Tamandua tetradactyla: one gene and its partner. The protein of the gene in region 2 binds, or shares a complex with, the protein of the main gene of each other region. Links are inferred from orthologs where the notes say so. Each region holds a gene or a part of one and is shown on either strand. Other genes may lie near its edges.

Evidence for each region.
Region 1: the proteins of NPR1 (region 2) and NPPA are in contact, whole or in part, in a crystal structure (PDB 7BRG), measured with the Rattus norvegicus proteins. The link is inferred for Tamandua tetradactyla from reciprocal best matches to the Homo sapiens genes NPR1 and NPPA. Residues at the interface, in NP_036745.1 of Rattus norvegicus: Asp90, Val115, Tyr116, Ala119, Pro120, Arg123, Ala139, Leu140, Gly141, Ile142, Val144, Tyr148, Tyr182, Asp184, Leu186, Gly187, Asp188, Asp189, Arg190, Phe193, Phe194, Val196, Glu197, Tyr200, Met201, Arg204, His213, Gln214, Glu215, Phe216; in NP_036744.1 of Rattus norvegicus: Arg126, Ser127, Ser128, Cys129, Phe130, Gly131, Gly132, Arg133, Ile134, Asp135, Arg136, Ile137, Gly138, Ala139, Gln140, Ser141, Gly142, Leu143, Gly144, Cys145, Asn146, Ser147, Phe148, Arg149, Tyr150.

What each region holds. Positions count from the first base shown.
Region 1 is NC_135328.1:213,613,906-213,620,373, forward strand, and holds NPPA (natriuretic peptides A), read left to right. Parts: upstream 1-4,749; 5' UTR 4,750-4,815; coding exon 4,816-4,938; intron 4,939-5,052; coding exon 5,053-5,379; intron 5,380-5,946; coding exon 5,947-5,958; downstream 5,959-6,468.
Region 2 is NC_135330.1:6,498,504-6,505,840, reverse strand, and holds the start of NPR1 (atrial natriuretic peptide receptor 1), read right to left. Parts: upstream 3,098-7,337; coding exon 2,380-3,097; intron 1,652-2,379; coding exon 1,452-1,651; intron 1,033-1,451; coding exon 919-1,032; intron 508-918; coding exon 372-507; intron 1-371. UniProt on the Homo sapiens protein: Receptor for the atrial natriuretic peptide NPPA/ANP and the brain natriuretic peptide NPPB/BNP which are potent vasoactive hormones playing a key role in cardiovascular homeostasis.

The sequences.
Region 1 (6,468 bases), on a different chromosome or scaffold from region 2:
GCCAGAAAACCATAGCATTTCTTGGCTTGTGGCCGCATAACTCCATCTCTGCCTCCGTCACATGACCATCTCTCTGCCTTTGTTTCTGTATCTGTGTTCAGATTTCCTGTCCTTATAAGGACACCAGTCTTATGGGCTTAGGTCCTCACCTTAACTCATAACATATTCAAAGATCCTAGTAACAAATAAGTTCACATTCACAGGTTCTGGGGTTAGGACTTGAACGTGTCTTTGGGGCAGGTGCTCACAATTCAATCCATGACACCCACCAGCAGCCAGCAAGGACCTGGGGCCTCCCGACAGCCACAGGAGTGTGCTTGAAAGCAGAGTCTCCCCGAGCCGAGCCTTGAGATAACTGCAGCTCTGGCAAACACCTTAACTGTGGGAGACTTGAGCCAGAGGCAGCCAGCTAAGCAGTTCCAGATACCTAATCCACAGAAACAATGAGATAGTAAACGTGGGTTTTTTTAAGTTGCTAAGTTTTGGGGTAATTTGTTACGCAGTAATTACTAACTAATACACTATCTTTTTCCTTCACTCTTACTTCCCTTGGATTAGAACCTGCAGAACCTCAGAAGATCATGGTCTTAAAGCGAACCCATTCCTGTGGGTGTAGACCTGTGGTGGGTGGGACCTTTTGATTAGGTTATTTCAGTTGAAGCATGCCCCATGTGGGTCTTAATCTTTTAACTGGAGTCCTTTGTAAGAGAAAGAAATACAGGGAGAGATACACACAGAAGACAGAGAGATGGTCACAGAAGCTGAAAGAGAAAGCCATAGAAACAGAGAGGAAGCCAGAAGCTGGGAGCACTGGAACCCAGAAGAGAAGGGAAAGACCAGTGGATTTCACCACGCGCCTTGCCATCTGACAGAGGAGTCCAGGTATGGTCTGAACGGTGCCTCGATTTGAACATTTTTGTGGCCTCAGAGCCCTAAGCTTGTAAACTAATAAGTTCCCAGTGTTAAAAGCCAGCCCATTTCTGGTACATTATGTTTTTCAGCAGCTTTACCAGACTAAAACAGAACCCCCATAAGGCTCTTAGCAAGTGAGCTTTTGCCTCAAGCTTAAGTTTTTTTTTGAGGAACTGACATTCGCCATCCAGCTGAGGAAGTAGCTTTACCTATTTCCTTCTTCTGCTTTGGGCCCTGCCCCCAACTTCCAGTCCCCAGTGACCTCCTTATGGTACCAAACACACACAGCATCACTTTCACACCTGGAAACACCCATCTCTTAAGTATGCAACGGTGTCCTCCCAGTTTCGCCCCACTGAGTCTTCTGCTCTAGACTGTTTGGTTCTAACAGAATCATGTCATGAATGTGACAGTTTTTCCTTCCAGTTCTGCTCACGAATGATGTTTCTGGGACCTCATGGAGGGGTGGGAAAGCAAACTCTGGGATAGAAATGGGAGATGCTCAAATTCTGGGTTCTCTCACCCACTTGCAATGCTCACATATGACTAAGACTCCTTCTTTCCCGTGATAAAGAGATGCTTTTGATTTTTCAGCTGGTGGGACACATGGGGGTGGGAGGTGGGTCTGATTTTTGTGTCTTTGGCTTTTCTTCTTTCTCATTCCTATAGGCTGACTTTTGAACACCCCCTTAAATATTAACTCCTCCACACACACCCCGAAGTAGAGCAGGGGCATGGAAACAGAGAGAAACTTTACGTCAAGTCATTTTCCATTTCAGGCTGAAATCAAGGGCTTTAATGTGATTTGGGATGATCCACGCATTTGAGGATTTTCTGTGTTTCTGCTGGGTCCTGTTTGGGCAGGTGGCATGGCTGGTTCTGCATAAAGCTTTCAGAGCAGCAAAACAGAATATCCCTTTTCTTGCCAAAAATAACAATAATGATAACAATAATAAGTACCTGGTTGATAGAAGAAACTCAACAAACGATGCTTTCACTCTGGAAAAGGAAAAGTGACCTTAACTAAAGGAAGTGGGGAAATTCTGAAATCCTCTTTCTGGAACCTGGGGTGGGACTTCCACTTCTTCTTGGGCCACCTGCAGACTTCAGAAGTGGCTCAGGACAGAGAAGCAGCAGTGGCCCTCAGAGACATAGCCATTGCTATGATGCCACCCTGGCAGTCTTTGCCTGCATCAAAGGTCTGTCTCAAAGGGCATCTCCAGGAGACAGGCTGTGTGACGCATGCAGCAAGGAGCACCAGTTCCTCCCAGTGAGGCTGCTCGCTGGATCTCCTTTGCTAATAATAACTCTGCCAACTGGGCAATTACACTGTGAATACATTCCAGGAACTGATCAGGACACAACGTTTTTTGCCCCCCAGAATTCCTATTCAGAATCGCATCCATTTCAGATTTCAAGTTGAGTTTGGCTTGCCAAATTAGTGACCCAAATCCCCAAACTTGCTAAAGAGGGTCCCCTTTTCCCTCAGTCTTAGAATAAAATCGCCCTGCATGCTTCTGGTGACTTTTGACCACTCTTGGTCCTGTTTCCCTGCTTTATCATAGTGTAGCGTTCTGTCCATCTGGTCAAACAGGGAGTGTGCACAGCTGGGGAAGGATTTGACCAGGACCAGACTGGCCACTCACACACATTTTCTGAGCTCCCACAGAATAGATAAAAATACATTAGGTGTATAAACAAGTCATGGGGATTGGATGTAGCCCTTTCCTTGAGATCGTCCAAAAGGAGAGCACCCCAAACACACAGAGACACAAAACACACAAAAGAGCTGCCCACGTGTACTTAGAAAGATGGGAAATGGAGGTGTGTTTAATCAGAAAACTGCTCCTAAAGGGTGTCTCATAATCTTCTAGGGTTTCCATCACAAAGTACCACAGATTGGGTGGCTTAAAGCAACCGGAATTTATTGTCTCAGTTCTGGAGGCCAGAAGTCTGAAATCTGCAGGTATCATCAGGGCTATCCTTTCTCTGAAGTCTTTAGGGCTCTGGCAGTGGCTTGTCTGCAATCCATGGCATAACAATCTCGGCCTCCATCGCTGGCTATTTTCTCTCTCCTTGAGTCCAAATCTCCCCTTCTTAGAAGGTCAGCATCATATTGGCTTAGGGTCCACCCTATTCCAATTTGGCCTCATCTCAATCATATCTTCAAAGATCCTTTTACCAAATGGGATCACATTCATGGGTCTGGGGGTTAGGACTTGAACAGGTCTTTTGGGAGGATACAATTCAATCTCTAACAGCTTGTTTGGGAACTGTCATGTCACGTATACTTGAAATAGATTAAGAATCCAGGTGTTAAGATCAGACCCGGGCTCAAGTCCTGGTTTTGCCACTTGGGCAGTTGACACGACCTCTCAGAGTCTCAGTTCTGTCCCCTCATATGGCGACGGTACTACCTACCTCCTGGGAGTTGTGATGAAGATGAAATAATCCACGTGAAGCTCTCAGCACACTGGCTGGCACATCATAATTCACCAAGAAGGGCTACCTTTCCTATGACCTTGCAACTGTATACTTCAAAATGCCTTCAGACATTAGCTTGTTCAAACCTCACCTGTGAGGTGAGCAGGGCAGGTTTTTACATTTCCCTCATTTTACAAAGGGGGAAGCTAAGGCCCACAGACTCGTATAACTGGGCTACCAATGCAAAGTTCTAAACCCATCCAATTTAGTGTCCCCATCTTCCCCTTCCCCCACCATCTGTATGTTGCATTGAATGGTATACTAACGTGCAGTGCTTAGCAAATGGAGGGAAGGGCCTTCATTAAATGCAGACCACCTTGCTGCCTCGTATTTATCTTTCAGGGGCCAGGAAAATTGAAGCTCTAAGTAGTCCAGTCATGTTTTTGGACCGGGAGAACAACACGGAGGACTTTAAGGGAATCTGTGCATTACATTCGCCTCCTATCTCACTCCTTCAGCCAACTCGCCATTGAAGCTTTCCTGGAAAGGTGATGGAAGAACATTGTACCTTCAGACTTAAAGAGTCTGAGCTTCTATATGCAGCAAATGAAACATCAGGATGCTCTAAGCTTCTAGATCCTTATAACCTTGGGGGTGGGGGGTGCTGTGGAAATGTGTGGAAGAGGAAGAGTTTGGAGAAAATTTATGTTCCCCAAATTTTATTGGTGTTTATATGGGGAGCTGAACTTGGAACATTCATAACATTTGGCTTCTGGCTGACTTAGTACTCTAAAAAATAGCTCCCTCTTCACCTGACTGCTGGGAGTGACTGCCAGGAATGAGGGCAGCCCTGTTCGAGGCAAGAAGTCTGCCCGTTCCCATTGATGAGTCAGGTGTGAAGTCAGCTTGAGCATCTGGACTAATTTGTCCCGAACTGTCAGCTGCCTGCCATTTCCTCCCCTCCCGCCCTTATTTGGAGCCCCTGACAGCTGAGCCACAAACAAACTGGGGAAGCTGGGTGCTGGCCAATCCTCACCCACTGCTTCCCCGCATGGGTCCCCTTGCCCAAGAGAAAGAACCCTGAGGCATCGGTGTGAGATAGCCAAAGATTCTTTTTTGCTCTTCTCACACCTTTGAAGTGGGAACCTCTTGAGGCAAATCAACAAGAATGTGGCTCTTGCAGCTGAGGGTCTGGGAGGTTGTAGGGGCTGCTCAAGGTTGAGGGCTGTGACAAGCTCTGCTGGACTGATAACTTTAAAAGGGCATCTTCTGCTGGCTCCTCACTCAGCTGCTTTATCGCTGCAAGTGATGGAATGGGGAGGGTTCCATCTCTCTTGTGCACTCAGAGAGCTGGAAGGAGGGGCTATAAAAAGAGGAGGCACAGGGCAGCTGGGAGACAGAGACAAACGAAGGACGAACAAGGGAAGAAGAGAAGAGATAGAAGAGGCAGCCATTATCAGGTCACTGACCCACTCCAGCATGGGCTTCTTCCCTACCATCTCTGTGGGCTTCCTCTTCTTTCTGGCATTTCAGATTCCAGATCAAACCAGAGCTAACCCTGTGTACAATCCTGTGTCCAATGCAGACCTGATGGATTTCAAGGTAGGGTCAAGAGAGGGGCACAGTTTTGGACCAGGGGGGTTTCTGATACTGGGTTGTTCTTGTTGATTTTCTCCAAGTCAGTGAGTTCTCTCCCTGTATTTTCCCTTTGTAAAGAATTTGCTGGACCGTTTGGAGGAGAAGATGCCTTTAGAAGATGAAGTTGTGCCCCCACAAGTACTAAGTGATCAGAATGATGAGGCTGGTGCAGCTCTCAATCCGCTCCCTGAGGTGCCTCCTTGGACCGGAGAGTTCAGCTCAGCCCAACGAGATGGGGGAGCCCTCGGGCGGGGCCCGTGGGACTCCTCTGAAAGATCTGCCCTCCTGAAAAACAAGCTGAGGGCTCTGCTCACTGCCCCTCGGAGCCTGCGGAGATCCAGCTGCTTTGGGGGCAGGATGGACAGGATTGGAGCCCAGAGTGGACTGGGGTGCAATAGCTTCCGGGTAAGTGGAGTGGGACATGGGAATGGGATAGGGAGGAGAGAAATTATAGCTTTTTTGAGGCTCACACCTTGTCAAAGAACACCATTGGGGGAAACTTCAGCAGGAAAGGAACCAGTGTAGAAGTTTGTTCCATTTGAGTTTTCTGCTCTGATTTGATGGGTGACCCATGAGTCTCAGGATGATGCCAGCATCCTCAGCTACAGCGTGCTGATAAAGTGTAAACAAAAAGCTACTTTCACTCACACTGGGAAATTGAAATGTTCACAAGGCAAGCATTGTGAACTGCTCGTTGGTAGTTCATGTATTGGGGAAAGGGGAACCTCCCTTAGAAATGCAAGAACACGAAATAGCAAATGAAATTGACAAAGTTTGCCTTCATTGACTTCTCATGAGTAGACTGTGTACCAATCATGAAACGCAAAGGGTCATCAGTCTGGGAGTTGGGGGCAAGTGGGGAGTAGATGGTCAGGGGTCAAGTTAAGTGAGTTAGCACAGTCATCTTAGATCGACTTTTCCAGGAAAGCCAGGTCACCAAGCCAAACTTTTGTTTCTCTGTTCTCTTTTTAGTACCGAAGATAACAGCCAGGGAGGAAAAGGTGGGCCAGGCCCCTGCACACTGAGAGAGAGACCTTCATCCCTGGGTCTCTCATGCAACCTTGTCCCATCTCACTGTCAAGTTGAGTTGTGATGAGCACTTTATTCAAGCTGCAGCTTCCTGTCAACATTTCTTGCATTTTTATGCTAACTTTAGATAAAAACAGTTTAATTGTGGCATCCTGTGTCTCCCACCCATGCATTAAATTTTAGGGTAAATTCTCACCTGTTACTGAAAGCAGTTTGAAAATGAATAAACTTCAGCACCATGGACAGAAGGCAAAGGCTTGAGTTGGTGTGATTTGTTTCCGGGGGAGAGAATTCAACCCGATATTCCTTGTTAGAGAGAATGCCCTGTTTATTCCTTTCTCCATCTATTTCTCCCTTTATCCCTTCTTCTTTTCCTCGTTTTTCCTTTTTGCCTCAAACTGCAGTTTTCAACCTGCACTGCTTCTGCTCAGCCCCAGTCAAGAGTCCTGAAAAAAACCCGGGAGA
Region 2 (7,337 bases):
GGGAAGGTGGCTGTGTTTTAAGAGAGTAGAAGTTCAGGGTGCCCCGGCCCGTCCCCATCTCTCCATCTGGTGACTGTCTCAGTCATGCCCTCTAAACGTGTACACGTGGTGAATGATGATAAAAGGGTCAGACATTTCAGCAGCAAGAACGACTGGGGTTGACTGCTTGTGGGAAGGCTTCGTGGTGGAACTAGGGGAGACAAGAGAAGGAGAACCTGAGGGAAGCTGTGGAAGTTCCTTACGGAAAGGGGCAGAAGACAAGTGTGTGGGTGACAGTGCGGCAGGGCTAGAGACCTCTTACGGCCTCCTGCTGGGGTACCTGTGACTCGTCCCTGTCCCCAGCCCATTTCCAGATGCCTCCAGGCTCTGACCTTGGAAGCTGCGGTTCCACATCCGCTGAGTGATGCCCTCCCCATCAGAAATGGTCCCCCCATGAGCCAGCGTCTCCGTCACTGCCTGGACATAGAGCAGGAGCCCGTCGTGGAAGGACGCTGGGATGGTGTTCACCTGTGGGGCAGGCAGAGCTGGGCTGGGTGGAGGTGGAAGGGGCCCAGAGCAGGACGTCATGGGGAAGGGACTGGGAGGGCTGTAGGCTTGAAAGAAGACAGCAGGAAACTACACCCTCACATGACAGAGCTGTTAGACCTAGAAGATGCTTTTACATTTACACCACTACTTCCGAGTCCTGCTAGCCAGGCAGCACGGTGTCATACTCATTTTACCAATGAGGACCTGAGTTTCAAGAAGTTGAAAACATCCCTCCACCATCAGCAGGGATACAGGAGCAATGGGAAGAGAGGGAAGAAGAGACCTGAGCCGGCTGGGATGGGAGAGAGGGCAGGGTGGAGACTGGCAGAGGGTGTGGAGTGGGAGCTAAGGTCTGCGTCAGGCAGACCCCCGGGCAGGGGACCCTCCTACCAGGCCGTCTTCCATGGTGAAGTTGAACTGCTCACGAGCCAGGTGCTTTAGCTGCTTCAGGAATTCCAAGTACTCAGGATTATCTGGCTCTTTGTATGTAATGATTTTGGCAGCCTGAGGAAGGGGTCAGTGGAGAGGGGGGAGCTGGCAGCTGACTCCAGACCTCTTAGGACCTTGGGGCCCGGCTACCTGGACGCCCACCTCCCGGAGCCGCTCTGCTTAGTTCAAGGTCAGACTGCACCTGTGTCTTGCATCAGCGAGGTGGTGCCTGCTCCCGGGCAGGCGCCCCAGGGGAGGCTTCTCCAAGTTCTGTCCAGATTGCAGGACTTTGACACCCTCCTGCCTCCGATGTTTTTTGCCCCCAGGCTCTCAACCATCCCCGTTCAGGCCCTCTGCATCTTTCTCCCTACCCTTTGCCCTCCATCACCTAACTCCCTATGAGTATCAAGAGTTGCTTTCTTTGAGTCCTTTCAGACACTCTGCCCCAGATATGCTGTGCTGTCAGCTCAGAGTCCCGCGGCCTGGGCGCTCACCTGGAAGGCCTGGTGGGCGCTGACATCCTGCCCGTCTCCCCTCTGCCAGGGTCTGTGCCGCGTGGGGCCGTGTGCCCCTTGCAGGCTTTGTCCAAAGAGGTCCAGGTGGAAGAAAACATACTCCTCCCCGCTCAGGCCGGCTTCTAGGGCCAGGAGCATCAGGGTTCTGAAGACATCTGGGGAGCTGCAGATGTAGATAACTGGGGGGGAGGTGGGGGGAGAGGTCAGAGAAAGAGAAGTCCAGGGTCCCAGGCAGAGGGTGGCATGGGGGTGGGATGCTGGGGCCCCCGGGGGGCAGGGGGAGCAGGAGCTCAGAGATGGAGGTGGGTGGGTATGAGGCTGTGGAGCCTTGTATGGCAGTAAGTAGCAGCCCCTCATGCGGCAGGAGGTAGACGAAGAAGAAGGGAGGAGGTGGTGGAAGGAGGGAAGGGGGGAAGGAAGAGTGTGAGGGAGAGGAGGTAACAGTGGAGGTGAAGGGGGGGAAGGGGGGGCCAGGAGGGGTGGGAGAGGGAAAGGAGGAGCCAGTTGGAGAGCAGACCCCCGGGGAGAGGAGACGGTGTGGGGGAGCAAAGGAAGGAGAGGCTGGAGGAAGGGAGAAGGCTGTTGGGAAGAGAAGAAAGGGGGACGGGAGCTAAGCTGGGGGCCTATTAAGTGTTAGGATCGCCTGGGCATTTTCTCCCTCCTGCTAGCTCCAGAGGAGCCCGTGGGACCGAGGTGGGGCGAGGAGAGGAGAGGAACGTGGAGAGAGGGGAGACAGAAAGAGGCAGAACTAGGAACTCGGGGGCAGAAAGGGCAGAGGGGGCCGGGGCTGGACAGGGCGCCCGAAGAGAGGGCCTAGCCGAGAGGAGGAGAGCGGGAAAAGTGGCGGGAGCGTCTGGCAGTCAGCGAGCAGGCCCGAGGCCCAGCGACGGCCGCGCGCGCCCCTCACCTCGGCCCTTGCGCCGGACGCTCCGCAGCAGCGCGGCGTAGTGGTCGCGGCCGCCCTCGGCGAACTCCAGGTGGTCCACGGTGACGTTGAGACGCTCACGGACGCGCACGTAGAGCCCCTCCACCACGAAGAAGCAGGGCTGGTCGTCGCCGGGCCGGTAGGCGTAGAGCACGAGCGCCTGGCGCTCCCAGCCCAGCCGTCGGTGCAGCGCGGCCACGAAGTCGCCCAGCTTGGCGTGGCTGGGCCCGGCGCGCGTGGTCAGCGCGTACTCGTCCTTGGCCCCGAAGCCGAGCGCCGCGGCGCCGGCCGTCAGCAGCGGGACCCGCCAGTGCGCCGTGAAGCGGCCCACCGGGGCGGCGGCGTACACGCAGCCGGGGCCCAGGAACGCCGCGGGGCTGTGCTCCCACTTGAGGTCCACGGCGGCCAGCGGCGCGGCCGTGTCCGAGCACTCGCCCAGCGCGTTCTCGCTGCTGCCCAGCACCGTGCGGACCGTCCAGCCCGGCAGCAGGTCGGGTCGCGCCTTCACCCGCCCCAGGGCCAGCGCCACCGCGGGCCCCACGCGGGCCCACGACCACGGGTACGAGGTGTTGGCCAGCGGCAGCACCACGGCCACCGTCAGGTTGCCCGCGTGGCTGCCCCGGAGCAGCGGCAGCAGCAAAGGCGGCAGGAGCAAGAGCAGGCGCGGGCGGGCGACCAGCGGGTGCCGGGGGTCCGGCATGGCTCAGCGGGCGCGGTGGCTGCCGAGCGCCCGCACCATGGCCTCGTCGGTCCCCACCCGCTCAGCGGCGGGGCCGCGGCATCGGGAGCGCCGGCGGCGCTCACCCGGGGCCCCGCTGCGACGGCGGGGTCTGGCGGCCGGAGGGCGCGCGGCGGGCGGCTGTACCGGGGCGGGCGTTAGAGGGGCGCGCGAGGGGCGCCGCGGAGCAGGTGGGACCGAGAATAGGAGCGCCGGGGCCGAGAGGATCTGAGGGTGAGCGAGTGTGTGAGTGTGTGAGTGTGTGTGTGTGTGTGTGTGCGCGCGTGTGATAGAAAGAGGAAGGGCGCGGGGGAGAAGGATGGGAGAGGGCGCGCGGGAGGAATGGGAAGGAGTGTGGGTGTTTGTGCGTGTGTGAGCGCCTGCCCCGGGGAGGGTGCCAGAAGGGGCGTCCGGCCGGCCCTAGTCTCCGGCGGCCGGGGGGGTGGGGTGGGGCTGGGTGGGGGGTAAGGACCTGCGCCAACACCGAACCCTCCCTCCCCGCGGCTTCCCCTCCCCGCCTGTGTGACAGAAGAGCCAATCCTGGATCCTTAACTCCTTCCTCACCACGCCGAAGTCTCCAGTGCACTGGGGTCCCCCAGCCCGCGGCGCCCCCACCCCCACCCCAGACCCTCTTCCTGCTTCTCCGCAGCCTCAAGTTTCCTGCTTGAAGAAGGCGCGCCCGCAGGAGGGGCTCGCTGGAGAGGCGGGGAAGGGGGGCTGGGTGTTCGAGCAGCCGAGGGCCGCCGGCGCCCCCCTCCCGTGGCCGCGTCCCTCCGCTCCTACCTGACTCAGTCTGGGTAAGAGGGAAGGACCTGCGGGTTTGGGATCCCGGCAGGAAGAGGTGTGAGGGTGTGGATCCGTGTGTCCGGGACGCGCGGGAGGGTGACACGTTTTTGCAGAAGGCGTTCCAGTGGAAGGCGAACCCAGAGTCCCGGTTACCCGGGCCGTCCACGATTCCCCTCCCGGGTCCTCCCCAAGGTCTTTCGAAGGGAGCAGATTAGCCGAGGCAGAAAGACCAAGGGGGAGGGCGGAGTTAACAGCTCAGTTCCCGAAGGGTTATTTAGGAAGGTGGTTCTCGGCGTGCGGAGCGAGTGTGCGGAGCTGGTGTGCGGCCTCGGGGCGGCTCCCGGAATGTGGGTGGGTTTGTTTCGTGTTGGGGAGAACTGCTAAGAAGGGGCAGCTGGTGGTGGCGGGAGATGGCGTTGGGAATGACCAGTGGGAGGCAGAAATTAGGAAGAGGGCTTGGGCCTTAGACGGCGGGGCGCTGTGTGTCCGCGGTGGGGCGAGCCTGCCCTCTACTGGTTAGCGGGAGTCCTGCCGGTTGGTGCCGCCCGGGTCGCCAACCCAGCGCCTCGGCTGTACCTAAGATTAGCAAACCTCCTCCCTTGAGCGGACCTTTCCAGAGGACCTACTGTGCGACAAGCACCCGGCCAGGTGCTGAGGGCGTTAGTGAGAATAGGAATATAAATGTGTGCCTTTGAGGAGCTCTGTTAGGGACAAACAGCGATAATGCAATTTGGATAAGCACTACAACACAAAAGTGAACAAATTGCCAAGGGGCTCAGATGAGGGCTATTAATTCTGTCTGGGTTGTGGTCAGGAAAATCCACAAACTGAAATAATTCAACAAGGATAGAGGTTGAGAAAGTTATTCTGTGCAGAAACATTAGAATGGTGAAGTATCTTTTCTATACATGGAATTTTAGGAGAATTTTGAAAATTATCATGGTCTAGAGCAGATGTTACAAATGGTGGCAAATTCAGACTTCAGGTAGGTTCAACAGACGCTGTTGGAGAGCAGTTAAGTCGTACTGCTGGGGCCAGGGGTTATTGGCTGCAGGATACACAGCGCAGTGCCTGGGGCTGTGCACAGACTGTTTCCTGGGAGAGAGGCCCTGTCTGGAACTGTGTAAATGGGGAATGCCCAGGGCCTCAGCGCCTGCACAGAAAGGATCAGGGAGGCCCCTAGGTTTTAGCCTGAAGAGATTCTCCAAACTCCTTGTATGGATTAGTCCCAAATGGCAGCACTCCCACAGACCAATGTGCAAAGATTGGGAAAGGTGTTTTCTTTTTTTTCCTCCTCCTCCTCCTTCCTTTTCTTAGCTACTGGCATCCAAAGAAAGCTCTGCTGTAACAGTGGCCGGACACAAGCTTAAGGAATAGATATTCCAGAGTCTAAATTCCAGAGATCACACCCTAAATTATCAAAATGTCTGGGTTTCAACAACCGATTACAAAACATACAGAGAAACAGGAAGTGTTTTTCAGGCAAAGGAGAAGATTAAAACATTAGAAGCCATCAGTGAAGAGGAATAGACCTGGCACATTCCAGACAAAGACTAAAAGGAAAAAAAAGGTCCTAAATATGCTCAAAGAGCTAAAGGAAAACACAGGCAAAGAATGAAAGGAAATCAGGAAAATGATAGATGAACCAAACAGAGCTGAAGGCCACAGTAGTAGAAACTTAAAATTCCCTAGAATGTCCAACAGCAGATGAAAGCTAACAAAAGAATCAGAGAACTTGAAGATAAGACCATTTAAATCATCCAGTCCAAGAAGTATAAAGAGGGAAAAATGAAGAAAAGTGAATGGAACCCGAGGAAACTGTGGGACGCCTCTAGCTTATCAGTATGTACATTGTGGGAGTCCTAGAAGGAAGAGAAAGACAGAAAGAGGCAGAAAGAATATTCAAAGAAATTAGAGTTGAGAATGTCCCATATTTAATGAAAGACATAGAACTACACACCCCAGATGCTCAGTGAACTCCAAATGAGATGAACCTAAATGAGCCCGCCCCACAGCGTGTTATAATCAAACTCTTAAATGGCAAAGAGCAAGAGAGAATTCTGAAAGTCACAAGAGAGAAGCAACATGTCACAAAGAAGCCTTCAAAAAGATTAAGTGCCAATTTCTCTTCTGTAACCAGTGGGGCAAGAAAGCAGTGGGAAGACATATTTAAACTGCAGAAAGCAAAGGACAGCCAAGAAAGAATTCTGTATCTGGCAAGCTGTCTTTCAAAAATGAGGGAGAGATGAAGACATTCCCAGATAAACAAAAGCTGAGGGAGATAGATCCTACAAAAAATGTTAAAAAGAGTTCTTCAGGTTGAGAGAAAAGGACACCAGACAATTGATTGAAGCCACGTGAAGAAATAAAGATATTATTTCTCTGGTAAAGAGAATGACATGGGTAAATATAAATACCAGTACTCTTGTATTTTCTATCGGTAACTCCACTTTTTACTTCCTACAAGATCTACAAGGCAAATGTATAAAATATGCCATTTGTGATGAGAACTACAGAAAGGTGGGGAATGGAGAGGTATAGGAACATGGTTTGTTTGTACTGTTCAAGTGAATTTGGTATCAAAGCAAACACAGTTTTTATAGATTAAGGATGTAAATTTAAGCCCCTGGTAACCACAAATAAAAGAGCAGAGAATATGCAGATTCACCGAGACAGAAAGCGGAGTCCAGGTTACCAGAGGTGGGGGGCAGGGGCTATGGGGAGTTAATGCAAAATGAGTGAAGGGTTTTGCGTTTGAGATGAGGGGAGAGGTAATGGTAAAGGACGGTCCTGAAGGGACCGCAGCTTTGTGACTGTGATTCATCCGGCGGAATGGCATGTCCGGAGAGGTTGGGATGGCAAGATTCCTGTTATTTATGTTTCCACAATTAAAACAAAAAGAAAGAGAAAGTAAAGAGATAATGACAATTAGAATGCAATACAGATACTGGATGGAGTTTAAGAATGGAGGAGAAAAGGCTCAAAAGGACATTATTGGGACAGAAGAAAAAAATTGGAATATAGGATGTAAACTTTTTATCAACGTTAGATTTCTTGGACTTGATAACTGTACTTAAGGTGACCACCTAAATGAATATCTTTCTTTGTAGAAAATGTACATGGAAGAATTATGTGTTCAAGGAGTGTTATGTGTATAGCCTGCTCTCGAATGTTCCGAAAGGAGATCGATGCTCGATAGACCAATGGATAGATAAATGATAGAGAGGATGATAGGGTCAAAGTGGCAAATGTTAAAATTGAATTCGGGTATCTGGGAGAGGGTGGGGGTATATTGAAGTTCTCTGTATGGGGTCATAGTATTATTATTTTTTTAAATTTAAAAACAATTTTAGTGTATAATATAGCATATATACAAAGCAAAGAATGAAAACAATAATTTTCAAAGCACTCTTCAAGTAGTTACCGGACAGATCTC